Linked DNA regions of Caenorhabditis elegans. The protein of the gene in region 2 purifies or fractionates together with the protein of the main gene of each other region. This does not show direct contact. Each region holds a gene or a part of one and is shown on either strand. Other genes may lie near its edges.

Region 1 (7,312 bases), on a different chromosome or scaffold from region 2:
AAACAGCGGGTTCCAACAGGGAGGATTTCAAGGCCAGTCTGGCGGATTCCAAGGGCAAAATGGAGGATTCCAAGGTCAAGGTCAATTCCAGGGAGACCAATCCGGGTTCGGACAACAAGGAGGATCACAGACCGGGTTCCAAGCATCACCTCCAGTTCCAGCTATGCCGCAACCTGGAGCAGGTAGTTCAAATGTCGGACCAGACTACTCACCTGTAGGGCAAACTGCGCCAGTTGCTTCTCCAGGAGCCGGTGGATTGTTTGGTGGTGGATCAGCTAGTACTGGCTTCGATGATCCAGCTTTTGCAGCTGATGCTAAGCCTGAAAAATCAACGACCGATACTATCACAGAGACGTCGGTTACTGGATCAAGAAAATGAAGATTTAAGTGTTTCTCACTGTGATATATGGACTTTGTACATACTTTTTAGAAATAAAATATATTTCTGTGTATTAAAGATTCTTGTCTTGATTTTGTAACAAATACAAATATCATTTAGATTAATTAATAGTCTATACTTATAGTGCCAAAAAGATCAAATATTATAGTGAAATTAATCAAAATGTTGTTCACAATATTGCTGATTTCTTTTTCAGATCCCCTAAAATTTTCAACAGAAGTTTGACTGGAGATATAGCGGTGGACATCTCACGGGTCTACTTTTAGATGATTTTTTTTTAAACCTCTGTAGCTTTGGAACAAAAAAAACTTTTCATAGGAACAGTTCTAATGATAAAATACTTTGAATAAACATATTTTTAAAATAACTACATATTTTAAAACACTTCATTTATTTGCATCATGGCATATTTTCAACTACTAAGAAATAGGGGCTAAGACTTCAATCAACTTGTGCAAAGAATGGCGAGAAAAAAAATTGTGAGAACCTATGGAAGCTTAGTAAAAAGAGACAATTTAGACGAGCAAAGATTTAATATAGACCATGAGAACATTTACAATACCGAGTAAGTGTAACACACAAAAAAAAGTATTATGACAGACAGAAAAAAGTAGTCGCTATGGAGACATCAAAACTTTTCAGAACATGTGTGAGTCGGCGCTTTCTTCTTCAACAGATTCCAAAATTGCAGAACTTTCAACGGTCGAACGATGACGAGCGAGAACACGGAGAAGTGGACGCAGAGCCATCCACCTGAAATTTTTAAATTGAAATTTATCGCAGAATGTGTCCAGGAGCGTTCATTGTCATTAGAGCGCGCTTACTAACAACTAACAAATTCTCGAATACGCGGGAATCAGCTTCCACAGGAAATCAGTTTTTGAAAACATATTTTTTGGGTTCTACGGAAATTATTGTCAAATTTTTAATTTACATTATTGCTGACTATGAGGAACATTAAGCGAATGGCAAACATGTAAAATTGGGCTCTTACGGCCGAGAACGAAAGTTTTTTTTTTAAACAGTCATCACAGAAATTATAAACAATTCATATCCGGCGGTGATTAACTTCATGATTTTTGAAATTACACAGTTATAAAGATCTACGTGATTTTTTCAAATTTTAAATGTTGAGAACTAATCAAATCAATAAGTAATCAAGGGATTTCATGAATATGCATCTTCTCTACAAAATGATCAACCAAATACCGGCCTAAAATCGAAAAACTGACTGTTATGATACAGTTTCCAAAATTTCCTAAATTTACACACTTTCGATTTGTATATCGAAAATGTTTAACAAATCATAACAATAATATAAATCGGAAAAAAAATCTTCTAAAGGAGCCAAAAACTAGCCAAAGAAACTGATTTTTGATAGAAACAAATTACCGCGCGAGTTTGTAAGATGTCAGAAAGTGCGCTCTAACGCTAGAGGAAATCGTGCTCCACGAGTATTGCATATAGCCCTTAAACTTATGGTTTAGATATTTAACAAGAATACAGACATGCTGTATTCCATTATGTTATTTTTAGTCTAGAGATTGAATAGTTTTTTCTACAAACTACTTGTCCACTAACCATTGCTCTGATGGAAGACGATGCTCAAAATCGGTCTCCTTCTTGAGATCTTGCACCGGCGTGAACACCACCTTTCGTCCTTTGAGTCCAAGAAGCGTCGCAGTATGGGCTGACTTGGCGATCACCTTGTTATCGGCCGTCAAATTTTCCTTGAGCTGAATGAGCAAAAACTCCAAAGCACGAGCGGCCAGCTTGGTTCCCATATTTCTGTCGAACGGCGTTGGAGATCCACCCTGTTGAACATGTCCGAGAACATTGACTCTTGTGGTGAAGTTCTTCTTTCCTTCAGAATCAAAAAGATTCTGCACAAAATCTGTGGTGAGGTTCTTGTCGGCCCACTCATTTCTGACAACCAAGTAGCGTTTCGCTCCAACTTCCATCTTTGAGAGAATCACATCAACATCATCGGAGAGGTCTTGAACGGTGAATGGCTCTTCAAAAATGTACGCATTATCCGCACCGGAGCTCAACGCAGAAAGAGTGGCAAGGTAACCACAGTATCCTCCCATTGTTTCGACAATGAAAACTCTTCTCTTGGTACCAGTGGCAGATTGCTTGATTTTGTCGATCATCTGGCAAATCTCATTGATCGCGGTATCGGATCCGAGAGACACCATAGTTCCTAAAATTAGAAATGTATTGTTTAAAAACCTTATATAATGAAAAACAAACCTGGAACATTGTTCGAGATGGTGCATGGGATGACACACATTGGAATGCAAAACTCGGGATACTTTTCGCGATTTTCAGCAAGAATTATTGTGCTGTGATACGCTTCAAATCCTCCAACAAGCAATAACGCTTGAATATTGTGCTTCTTCAGTTGAGCAGCAAGTTGAGGCATAGTTTTCTCAGTTGGAAGACTTTTCTGTGTGCCAAGGAACGATCCTCCGTTCATTGCCCAGTTAGTAACATCGGACCACTTGAACTGTTTGAATGACCCATTGGCAAGTCCCTCAAAACTGTCTTCAATACCGTACACGGTACACTGATGGTAGAGAGCCATTCGAACATAAGAGCGGACGGCTGCATTCATTCCACCGGCTGGAGCGCCAACGTTGATTACAGCAACATTGAATTTGTGTCCTTCCGAAAGATTGTCCTTTTCGACGGTTCTCATCTTAGTCAGCAACTTGTACGTTTCAAGATTTCTCTGGAAACTGCGTCCACGAAGCATCACAGCCGTGGTCCAGTCCTTATCCGCCATTGCCTTCTGTACCATTTGAGTTCGTTCGACACACTTGAGAAGTGGCACACGGACCATAACATTTCCGTCAATTGAGATAACACAAGGTTCTGATTCCTGAAATAAAAAAAAATTATACTTCTTTTCTTTCAAGCAGGAATAACGGTTTGAACGGTGAAAGTGTAGACCCAAAATGTGCTCAAATAAACGAAAAAATTTGTAAATTTCGTTATGAAGCTTTGCAAAAAATGTTCAAACTTTTTTCTTTGACTGTACAAAATGTTAGAAAAAATAGTCTAAAATCTCTAATTCTGAGCTTTTTTCGGTGTCGAAGCTGCCTGAAATTGATTTTTTGAGCGCATTATTATCTTTTATTGCATTTACTAATTTTTGACATTTTTTGGTCACCTACCGGTTTTAAATATACCTTGACTAGGGCTTCCATGTGGCGCCGGTAAGGCGTCAGCGCCGGCTTCACGCCGCAAATCGCGCCACAGGTATAGTACGGCGCGGAACCCCCAAAGTGTCGACCGCTGCCATCTTTGCGAACTACGTTGCGCACACGTCAAATTTCTCTTTTCACGCCAAGCTGCGAAACAGCGGCAGACGGTGAAGGAGGTCCGGCGGGAGGCCCGTGGAGGCGCCAACGCCGCGCCTCTCTCACAAGGAAGCCCTAACCTTAACTATCAAAATAATATGAGATGAAGGAACAAAATTTACGACAAAGTTCGATAATCCAAAAAAGCCAACTTCGGGCCGCTGCGGCACTGAAAAAAACTACAATTAAGATTTTTGTTAATTTGAAAACATATTGGTTCATACGTTCAAACCATTAATGAAAAATTCACAGAAAATCCCAGAAACCTCAGTCATCTCCATGAGAGCAAAAACTGCTTCTGCTCCCATTCTACATCCAAGAAGTCGATCAAAAGCAGATGGAGCACCTCCGCGTTGAACATGTCCAAGAATTGTAACGCGTGTATCGTATTTCAGCTTCTCCTTGACAGCAGTCTTCACATCCTCGGCGGTGATAGCCTTTCCATCACGATCAATAGCTCCCTCGGCGACAATAATGATGTTAAGACGTTGACCCTCTGATCTCATTTGAGAAAGTTTGTCGCACAAGACGTCACGCCAATTTTCCGGTGCCGGCCATTCAGGAATGAAGCAGAAGTCGGCTTCGGAAGCTAGAGCAGCAACTAGAGCCAGATATCCACAATGGCGACCCATGACCTAGAGTAAAATAAGTATATGAATTATTTTCTTGATAAATTGAGATCACCTCAATAACAAAAGCCCTTTGATGACTTTGTGCAGTTGCGACTACAGCATCAATAGAACTGATAATTCTTTGAAGTGCCGAGTCGGTTCCAATCGTCATGTCGGTTCCACAAAAATCGTTGTCGATGGATCCGACAAGTCCGACAATTTGAATGTAAGGAATCTTTTTCGCAGCCGCCGCAGTGACTCGTTGATTTTTCACAAGTTCTTGCACAAGATCGGTCCACTCCAAACGGAAAGTGTTGGCTCCAGTGAGAGATCCATCTCCACCAATGCATACAAGACGACCAATTCCACGATTAATCAGGTTGGTGGCTGCCTGGAAATTTAATTTTAACTTTCAAAACTTTCAAAAATTTGTTTTATTGGGCTAATTATTTTCTCACCTTGAGACGCCCTTCACGAGTTCTGAATTCGGAAGATCTTGCGGAACCAATGATAGTTCCTCCTTGCTGAATAATATCGGAAACGGTGTTCCACGTGGCTTCCTTGATGAAATCTCCACCTTCAATCATTCCTTCGTATCCTTCGTAGATCAAATACACTTTACATCCACAGTATATAGCCATTCTTGTGATACTTCGAACAGCGCTGTTCATACCTGGAAAATAAAGTTTCAAACGTATTCTTACAAGGAAAAGTTTGAATTTTATTAAAAGTGAAATGAATTTTATATGGAGACTCCACACAAAATTTTCATGGCAGGTCAAAATTTCAAATTTTGCCCTAATTCATTCGTACCTTGAGAGTCTCCTCCGGACGTGTAAATCGCGAGAGTACGTCCCTTGAAAATATCCGACGCAATCTCAGTTCCTTCTCTTCCAGCAGTTGGGACGATTGAGTCGAAGCGGCGCAAAGCTCGCTGACGGATAAAGTCGAGCTCTTCTGGCGTGATTGTTGATGCGTCCGCGTCCATTTCGAATTATGCAAAATTCTGTAATTTATGACAATAGTATTTAACACGAAGGATGAGAAAAATGGGATGAGAAGAATGAAAAAATTTTGAGAAGAAAAGGATAAATCTGAGAACTGCAAGAGAAAAATGTTGACAAGCAAAAACTGATTAATCGATGCGGACAATGAATGCGCGTAATACAGTGTGGCAGGGACCATTGTGGTTAGAAAGTGCGCGACGCAGATACAACAAGGAAAACACAGAAACAAACAACTGCGCGCGGTCATATTACCCTGTGGAAGGTCAACTTTTAATTATTATTTTTATAGGAGGAGCATTGAGTGGTTCTGGACATTTTAAATTCAATGAATTTTGTAATGAAACTTCCAAATTTTTTTCAAAATTTTTTATGTCGGTTTGAAATTTTAAAAATTTAAAAATTCAAAAAAAAACCTATTTCAGCTAAAATCTCTAATTTTGTCCATTTTTTCGTGTTGCATCGGTCCGAAGAAATTAACTTTTTTTCAAATTATTATATTTAATGGCATAGCTTGACTTCATTTCGTTAATTAGGATACATCGTATTTTTTCTAATGTAGTATACATTGCACTCCATTACTCAACTTTGACAGCTTAAATCTCAGTTGGCGTTTGTTTTATTGAAAACTGATCAACTGAAAAAACACTTATTTTTATTTTTTTCTATATATTTGCAGTTGACAGTTTATTGATATTTTTTAAACGAACATAGATATATCCTTTTGGAGTAAAGTAATTGGATGATATACTATTAGAGGAAATACGTAATTTACAGCTGATAGGTAACCTAAAATAAAAAAAAATAGGTCACCTATCGGCTTTAACTGTACTATAATCAAAAAAAAAACAAGAGATGAACGACCAAATATGCAACAGAGGATTGAAAAATCAAAAAAAAAGTATTGCCAAAATTGAAGATTTTAACTAAAATTAGGCCATGTTTTTTCGAAATTTTGAACCGCCATAAAAGTTTATTGAATTAGTTTAATCCATTTGAGTAGATATTAAGTTTAAACGTTCAAAATAATACCGAAACTTCAACAAACAAACGTTTTATTTAGTTCCTTTGGTATAAGAAAACAATGAATGATGCCAAGTGAGAAGTGATAGTGATTGAAATGGAGAGAGAAAAGATGCAGAGTAAATAATGAGTGTGACGAACGCATGGGAAAAAAGAAAAGTAGAAAAAAGCCAAAAATAAAAGGTTTCGACTTTGAAATATGCTATGGCAAGTACACATGATGCAATACACGAAAGAAGCCCCTAGAGGGGGGATGCACTTTTGATCTTGACGCAGGGGACCCAGACAACTGAATGTATTTATACAACAGAAACAAAACATGAAAACCAAAATTGTGAATTACATTTTCCTATCAAATCGACTGGATTGAATGAATGATTGGTGTGTTTTCTTCTTCTTCACTTTTTCAGCCTTCAGCAAGGGAAAAAAACTAAGCAGCCAGAAGCAAAGTGCGAGAGAATATGCGTAACACGGAGAAAGAGATCGAGAGAAGACAACGCAAAAAAAACGAAAGCGCGGCCCTTCTGCCTTGCCCCTCGTTTCTCCAACTGCTCAATGTTTTCGACGTGCCAAAACGCATTTTGGATTGAGAAGGAAGAAAACGTAAGGGCCGGGGAGAGAGCACAAAGATTTGATTTCTTATCCGTCATGTCATTTGTGTCTAGTTATCAAAAATAAATCAATTTAAAACATGAATAGAGCTAGTGGAAAAATTTAAAAAAAAAACACGCCTACGGTACCACAATGGACAAATATCATAAAAGAAAGTTTCAAAAAAATTTTCTAATTTTTTTTCCAATTTTCAAAAAATCAAAAAATCAATTGAAACTTTAAAAAATTACCATAACATTTGGTCACTGTAGCGTGTGTTAAAGAAATTTCCTCACTGACTCTACTCCTTAAAATTTG
Region 2 (4,876 bases):
TTTAGATAAAAACGGAACGTTTTCCATATTAAAAAAAAGCGCCTACATCAATGGAAAAAACCCGGGAAAACAATTCGAATAGGCATAATCTGCTAAAAATTAAATGTTAATTTCCATCAGCTTCAACAAAAATAAGTTGGTGAAATTTCAGATTTTAGAAAAATCGGTTTTCTTTTCAAAATTTTGAATATCCGAAAAGTTTTTCAGAAACATTTTTGAGAAATTTCGTCCAGTTTCAATATATTTTAGTCAAGAACACACACCATCTACTTTTTTAAACATAGAAAATTCTAACTTTGAGAAATGGAAAATTTAGAGAAGTTGGTCAAATGTGTATTTCTAAATTATTTTTTTTAATGTTCGAATTTGACAAACAGGTCTTCATTTAGCAAACTACCAGCAGACTGTCAGTTAAAAAATGATATGAAAATTTTCTTAAAGCATTTTTCTATCGGCTTATGTTTTTTAAAGAACTAAATTTATCCAGAAGCCCCGTTACAAAAGCTTGAGAAAACAAAACAACATAAATCGATACACAAAATAGTCAGCCGAAAGACAAGAAAGTCATGACGCGTGGGACCGTATAGCATATTGATTCGAACCAAAAACTTGATAAAGAGTTGGAAAAGAAAGTGCCAAAGAGTGGAAGAGAAAGAGATTGCATTGTGTATGCATACATTTGGTGGTTCTACAATGCTCTTTGTTCACCTGCAACGACACATTCATGTGGAGGCACTACTAGATGGTTATGAAAAAATAAATGGCATTTTATTCAATAAATTGCTTTATAACAAAAAAAATGCTCATAACAATTGGAAACCGGATTATTAATTATCACCTATGACCCTGAAAAGAAATCACACAAATTGAGCTTTTTTACATATTATCCAATGTATGGAATCGTTTCATGTCGCTTTGCTTCGTTTTTGTTGATATTTCGAAAGAACTGCTTCCCGCGCTGGTTTTCTGAAAAATATAAGATTTTAAAAATTTATTTTTGTAACTAAAATTTCAATAAAACTGTACAATTTGAGCCTTTATCCGTCTTGCCCTCTTCTGTTCATCCTGAAAACCTTCCTTCAGTTGTTCTGTCACGAATAATACAATTTTCGTCCATCCTCTTTGAGTTGTCTGGAACAAATTATATTTGTCTGAATGCAGTTTCTATTAGGTTAACCTCTGTTCGATCTTTCTTTTCTCCCCATTCCAAAGTTCTTTCAATCATTGCAGTTGCAAACTGGTCAAGAAGATGTGCGTGGAATGGGCAGCCGTCTGAAACAGGAGGGAATTGGTAAAATATGATTGAAAATATTTCTGGGGGTTTTTTAATGCAGTGATTCATTTTTATATGCTTTTTCTAACCGTACAACTAATAAAGCTCGACCTAATAAAGCTGAAACTTCCCGAGTTGGGCAAATTTGTCCAACTTGCCGAGCTCAAAAAATGGCAAATTCGGGGAAATTGCCGCACACGATGCTCTTGTAAATCGATTCTGATCGACGTCAAAGTCAGTCCAATAGACGTCGAATTATGTCGAAGCTGGGTGTACCTGCGTCGTTTTAACTGACTTGGACATCGATCAGCATCGATTTATCAGAGCTGGTTCAAATCAAGAATTATCGGAAAATGGATCCGGAGTATCTGGAGTATAATTTTTTAGACATTCAATTAAATTTATTTATTTATAGATTTCTGTCAAATGTGATCAGATCAAAGCGCAGAATGTTTCAAAACTCACATTGATTTCTTGTTGGCCAAACATGTTTCTCACCAGCCTCTCGGAGTCCAGCTACTGTAGCTGACGGTGAATCAAGATTTGCAATTAGGTCATCCATAAGTACAGTAAATAGTTGAGCATGTTTCTTTAACCTTTCATGTCCTTCATTTTTAGTTCCAAACATTATCATTTGCCGAATTTCGGGATTTTTGAAAAACGAGTTTCGAAAGATACTGATCGCTGGTTCCAGGGCGCCTTGATTTCTTGCATGATTCCAAGTTTTCCTCACAAACAATATTTGAGGCTGCGTAAGGTGAAGAAATTGATGAATGCATGGGAACATTGTTGCTAAAATTTGTATCTCATGAATCATTCTAACTGACAAATATTTTTATCTTACGATTTGAGCTAGTCGATGGAGTTGTCTCCTTTGTCTCACTCCGAACACCTGGTCTGGTAAACTTCAAGGAGCTACTCTTTTGCATATTCGCATGATCTGGAGCATGCTCTGTCCCGCTGCTGACTGTACGTTTCACAGATATACTGGAAAAGAGATGTTTTGATAAAAAGGATAAATGTGATAAAACCCACTGGCTTCGAGGTGTGACTGCTTCAAGTAAATCCGAATTTGTTGAATCCACTGATCGCCGATTGCCTGGAGAGCCCAAATTCTGACGTGGACAGCCTGAAGATACTTTTTGTTGAATCTATGGATTTCAGATTTGGGATTTTGAGCATATTGAGGACTAGACATTTTTCCCCGGGTCTTCTGGCGCTCGCGCAGCGCCCGTGTGCATTTACCGTTTTTGTTATTTGTTTTGTGCCTTCCACATAAAAATTCGATCGTCTTTATTATATTTGGAGCAGTTGCTTTAAAAACTACATAGTTCAACCAAAATATATTTTCAAAGTGAGAAAACGGTCATTAGAAAAACAGATTATTCCGTATAAAAACTCTTACCTGTAGCCAAAGGTGATTGTTTTGAAGTCCGTGTCGAACAGAAAACCTCATCGTCTGAATTATTGTATTCATCAGTTAGACAAATTGGCGGAACGTCTTTTCCTGAAAATATATTTAATTTCAATAGTTTTTATTGGCAGTTTTACCTGGAAAATTTCGATATTTTCCTGGAGCGGATACTGGGCAGACTGCCGGAGGTGAGGATGATTGGGAATCAGAGAAAAATCTCTCTGAAAAAAGAAGTTTATTTTTCATAATTCTAGACTAACACTCACCATGAGAAGAAATCGCTGAAGCTGATCTTGGAATGACGTCACTGGTGACCCTACTTGAATTATGATGAGCTGACTTTGAATGAGATACCCGTGTGGTACCGTGTGTTGATTTAGTTGATTGGTTACCCATGTTTTGTGATTTTAAAGTCTCTGGAATGTTAACTTTGTGAAAATTTGAAAGAAAATAGAAAATATTTAAATCTCAAATTGACAATGATGGTGGCGAAAAAGTTGAAGGATGTTATTCTGAAGAGACGAGATACGCCAATGAACAGAGAGATAGAATGCGCGGTTGAGTGAGTGAGAATGGCTCATTTGATGACGTATTTTGACTAGGGTTAGAAGACTACAAAAGGACCATAAAGCGAAAGAAATAAAGAGTGAGAGAGAAAAAGAGATAAAGTCTCCGAATTGAAGAGTGAACGAGTAAAAATATGGAAAATTGGATAGACGTAGAGATATTTACAGAAAAAAAAGAAGAAGTAACCGAGTTGAAAGAACCGGAAAGTGAAGGGTTGCACAATGGATTGAGCAGCAGTGACTACTTTTATAGCTAAGGACTCTAGAATTCAAGAAAATAATGTTTCGGTAGTCACAATGTCTCGAAGCGATATTTCAAATTTGTCATAGCAAGCTCAACCAGCTCAACCCCCCTCATTATAATGTTTTCTCAAAACTTTTGAGAAATTTTTTATGTACACATGTGGTTTTTTTTGGATTTTCCTACAGTTTGGTTTTTTAGTAGAAATGCACTTAACGTACTATAACTTTTTCTCTGTTTCAGGTTTAGGAGTTTGAGCTTCAGCGAATTGTATAATCTAGTAGCTATATAAATTGAACTCCACGCTTCGTTTTAGCTATCACGTATACGTTTGAAAATGTGAGTTTTTGCCATATCTTACGCGCAAAGGTCTCACCACGCGGAAAACGAGTTACTGAAAGAAGTTTATCGGCATGATCTACAGTAAGTCGTTGACCGCGTGGCGAAACCTGGCGAGACCGAAAATGCTCATATTTAAACGTCTGAATAATATGATTTTTGGAAAAATGCATATATTATGGGGTTTCGCTAATAGATTTTGTGTTCTAGAACCGCTTGGGAAGTTTGAAAAACGCTAAACCCCTGTTGGTAAGTCTTTTGGCAAGGGGTTTTATAGCTCAAAACTTGTTATCCTTTTTATATTATTAGGACACCTGATCAGTACACTAAACCTTTTCAAGTAGGAATCGGTAACTTTCTTCGCTGTCAATGCACCGTTAAAGAAAAGAAAAATAATAAAACCTTCCTCGACTTGTGAGCTTAAACTTAATAGGATCTTGTGCAAAAACACTTCAGCTCGGATAGTAAAAAATGTCAAAAACAAATAGCATCACAAGATGGCACTTGTCAAAAAAGTATACCCCGAACAATATCACATGATGAACTTCGCAAATCGGAAATTTCCAATTGTAAGCGTCGTTTCCGAATAAAGACGACGAGACACTGCAAGCGAATTTCCGATTTTCCGTAGACTAGACAAGACGAGTCAGGGCAGATAAAAACCCGAAATCTTCAGACATTTGCAGAGTTTGAAAAGGAGGTGAAGCTACTAGTAAATTGGAATTAAACGGAGCAGAAACAGACAACGAAGACTACGTCGTCGTCACAACGATGGCGATGAAAGGAGATGCAGCAGGGAATGGAGAAAAAGAAGACGTAACACCACACTAAACAACGACACACACACACAAGACCGACGGGCCTATTTTATTTATCCTGAAAGACATAGGGCGGGCAAAAGAACGACTTTTTTGAAAGAGAAGACGAGAGGACCCTTTCGAGTAATTGAGCAGACAAGAGGAGCAGCAGGAGCCTGTCTGTTTTTCGGAAATTATCAAGCCTTGAAAGTGAGCGTAAGGAGAGAAGAAGATTAGGTGGGGGAA

What was found.
Region 1: the proteins of glb-6 (region 2) and pfk-1.1 fractionate together in Caenorhabditis elegans (co-fractionation; one large-scale study listed by BioGRID). This does not show direct contact.

Annotation. Positions count from the first base shown.
Region 1 is NC_003284.9:2,938,942-2,946,253, reverse strand, and holds pfk-1.1 (ATP-dependent 6-phosphofructokinase 1), read right to left. Parts: upstream 5,383-7,312; 5' UTR 5,365-5,382; coding exon 5,190-5,364; intron 5,050-5,189; coding exon 4,835-5,049; intron 4,768-4,834; coding exon 4,450-4,767; intron 4,401-4,449; coding exon 4,032-4,400; intron 3,285-4,031; coding exon 2,654-3,284; intron 2,604-2,653; coding exon 1,982-2,603; exon of another isoform or gene 1,154-1,981; coding exon 1,039-1,153; 3' UTR 776-1,038; downstream 1-775. Other genes in the region: Y41G9A.10 (Prion-like-(Q/N-rich)-domain-bearing protein), read left to right, coding at 1-379. UniProt on the Caenorhabditis elegans protein: Catalyzes the phosphorylation of D-fructose 6-phosphate to fructose 1,6-bisphosphate by ATP, the first committing step of glycolysis.
Region 2 is NC_003283.11:5,567,431-5,572,306, forward strand, and holds glb-6 (Globin-like protein 6), read right to left. Parts: upstream 3,104-4,876; 5' UTR 3,084-3,103; coding exon 2,954-3,083; intron 2,909-2,953; coding exon 2,825-2,908; intron 2,781-2,824; coding exon 2,679-2,780; intron 2,403-2,678; coding exon 2,309-2,402; intron 2,261-2,308; coding exon 2,118-2,260; intron 2,066-2,117; coding exon 1,739-2,065; intron 1,273-1,738; coding exon 1,178-1,272; intron 1,132-1,177; coding exon 1,027-1,131; intron 967-1,026; coding exon 877-966; 3' UTR 755-876; downstream 1-754. UniProt on the Caenorhabditis elegans protein: May play a role as physiological sensor for oxygen via redox signaling and/or electron transport.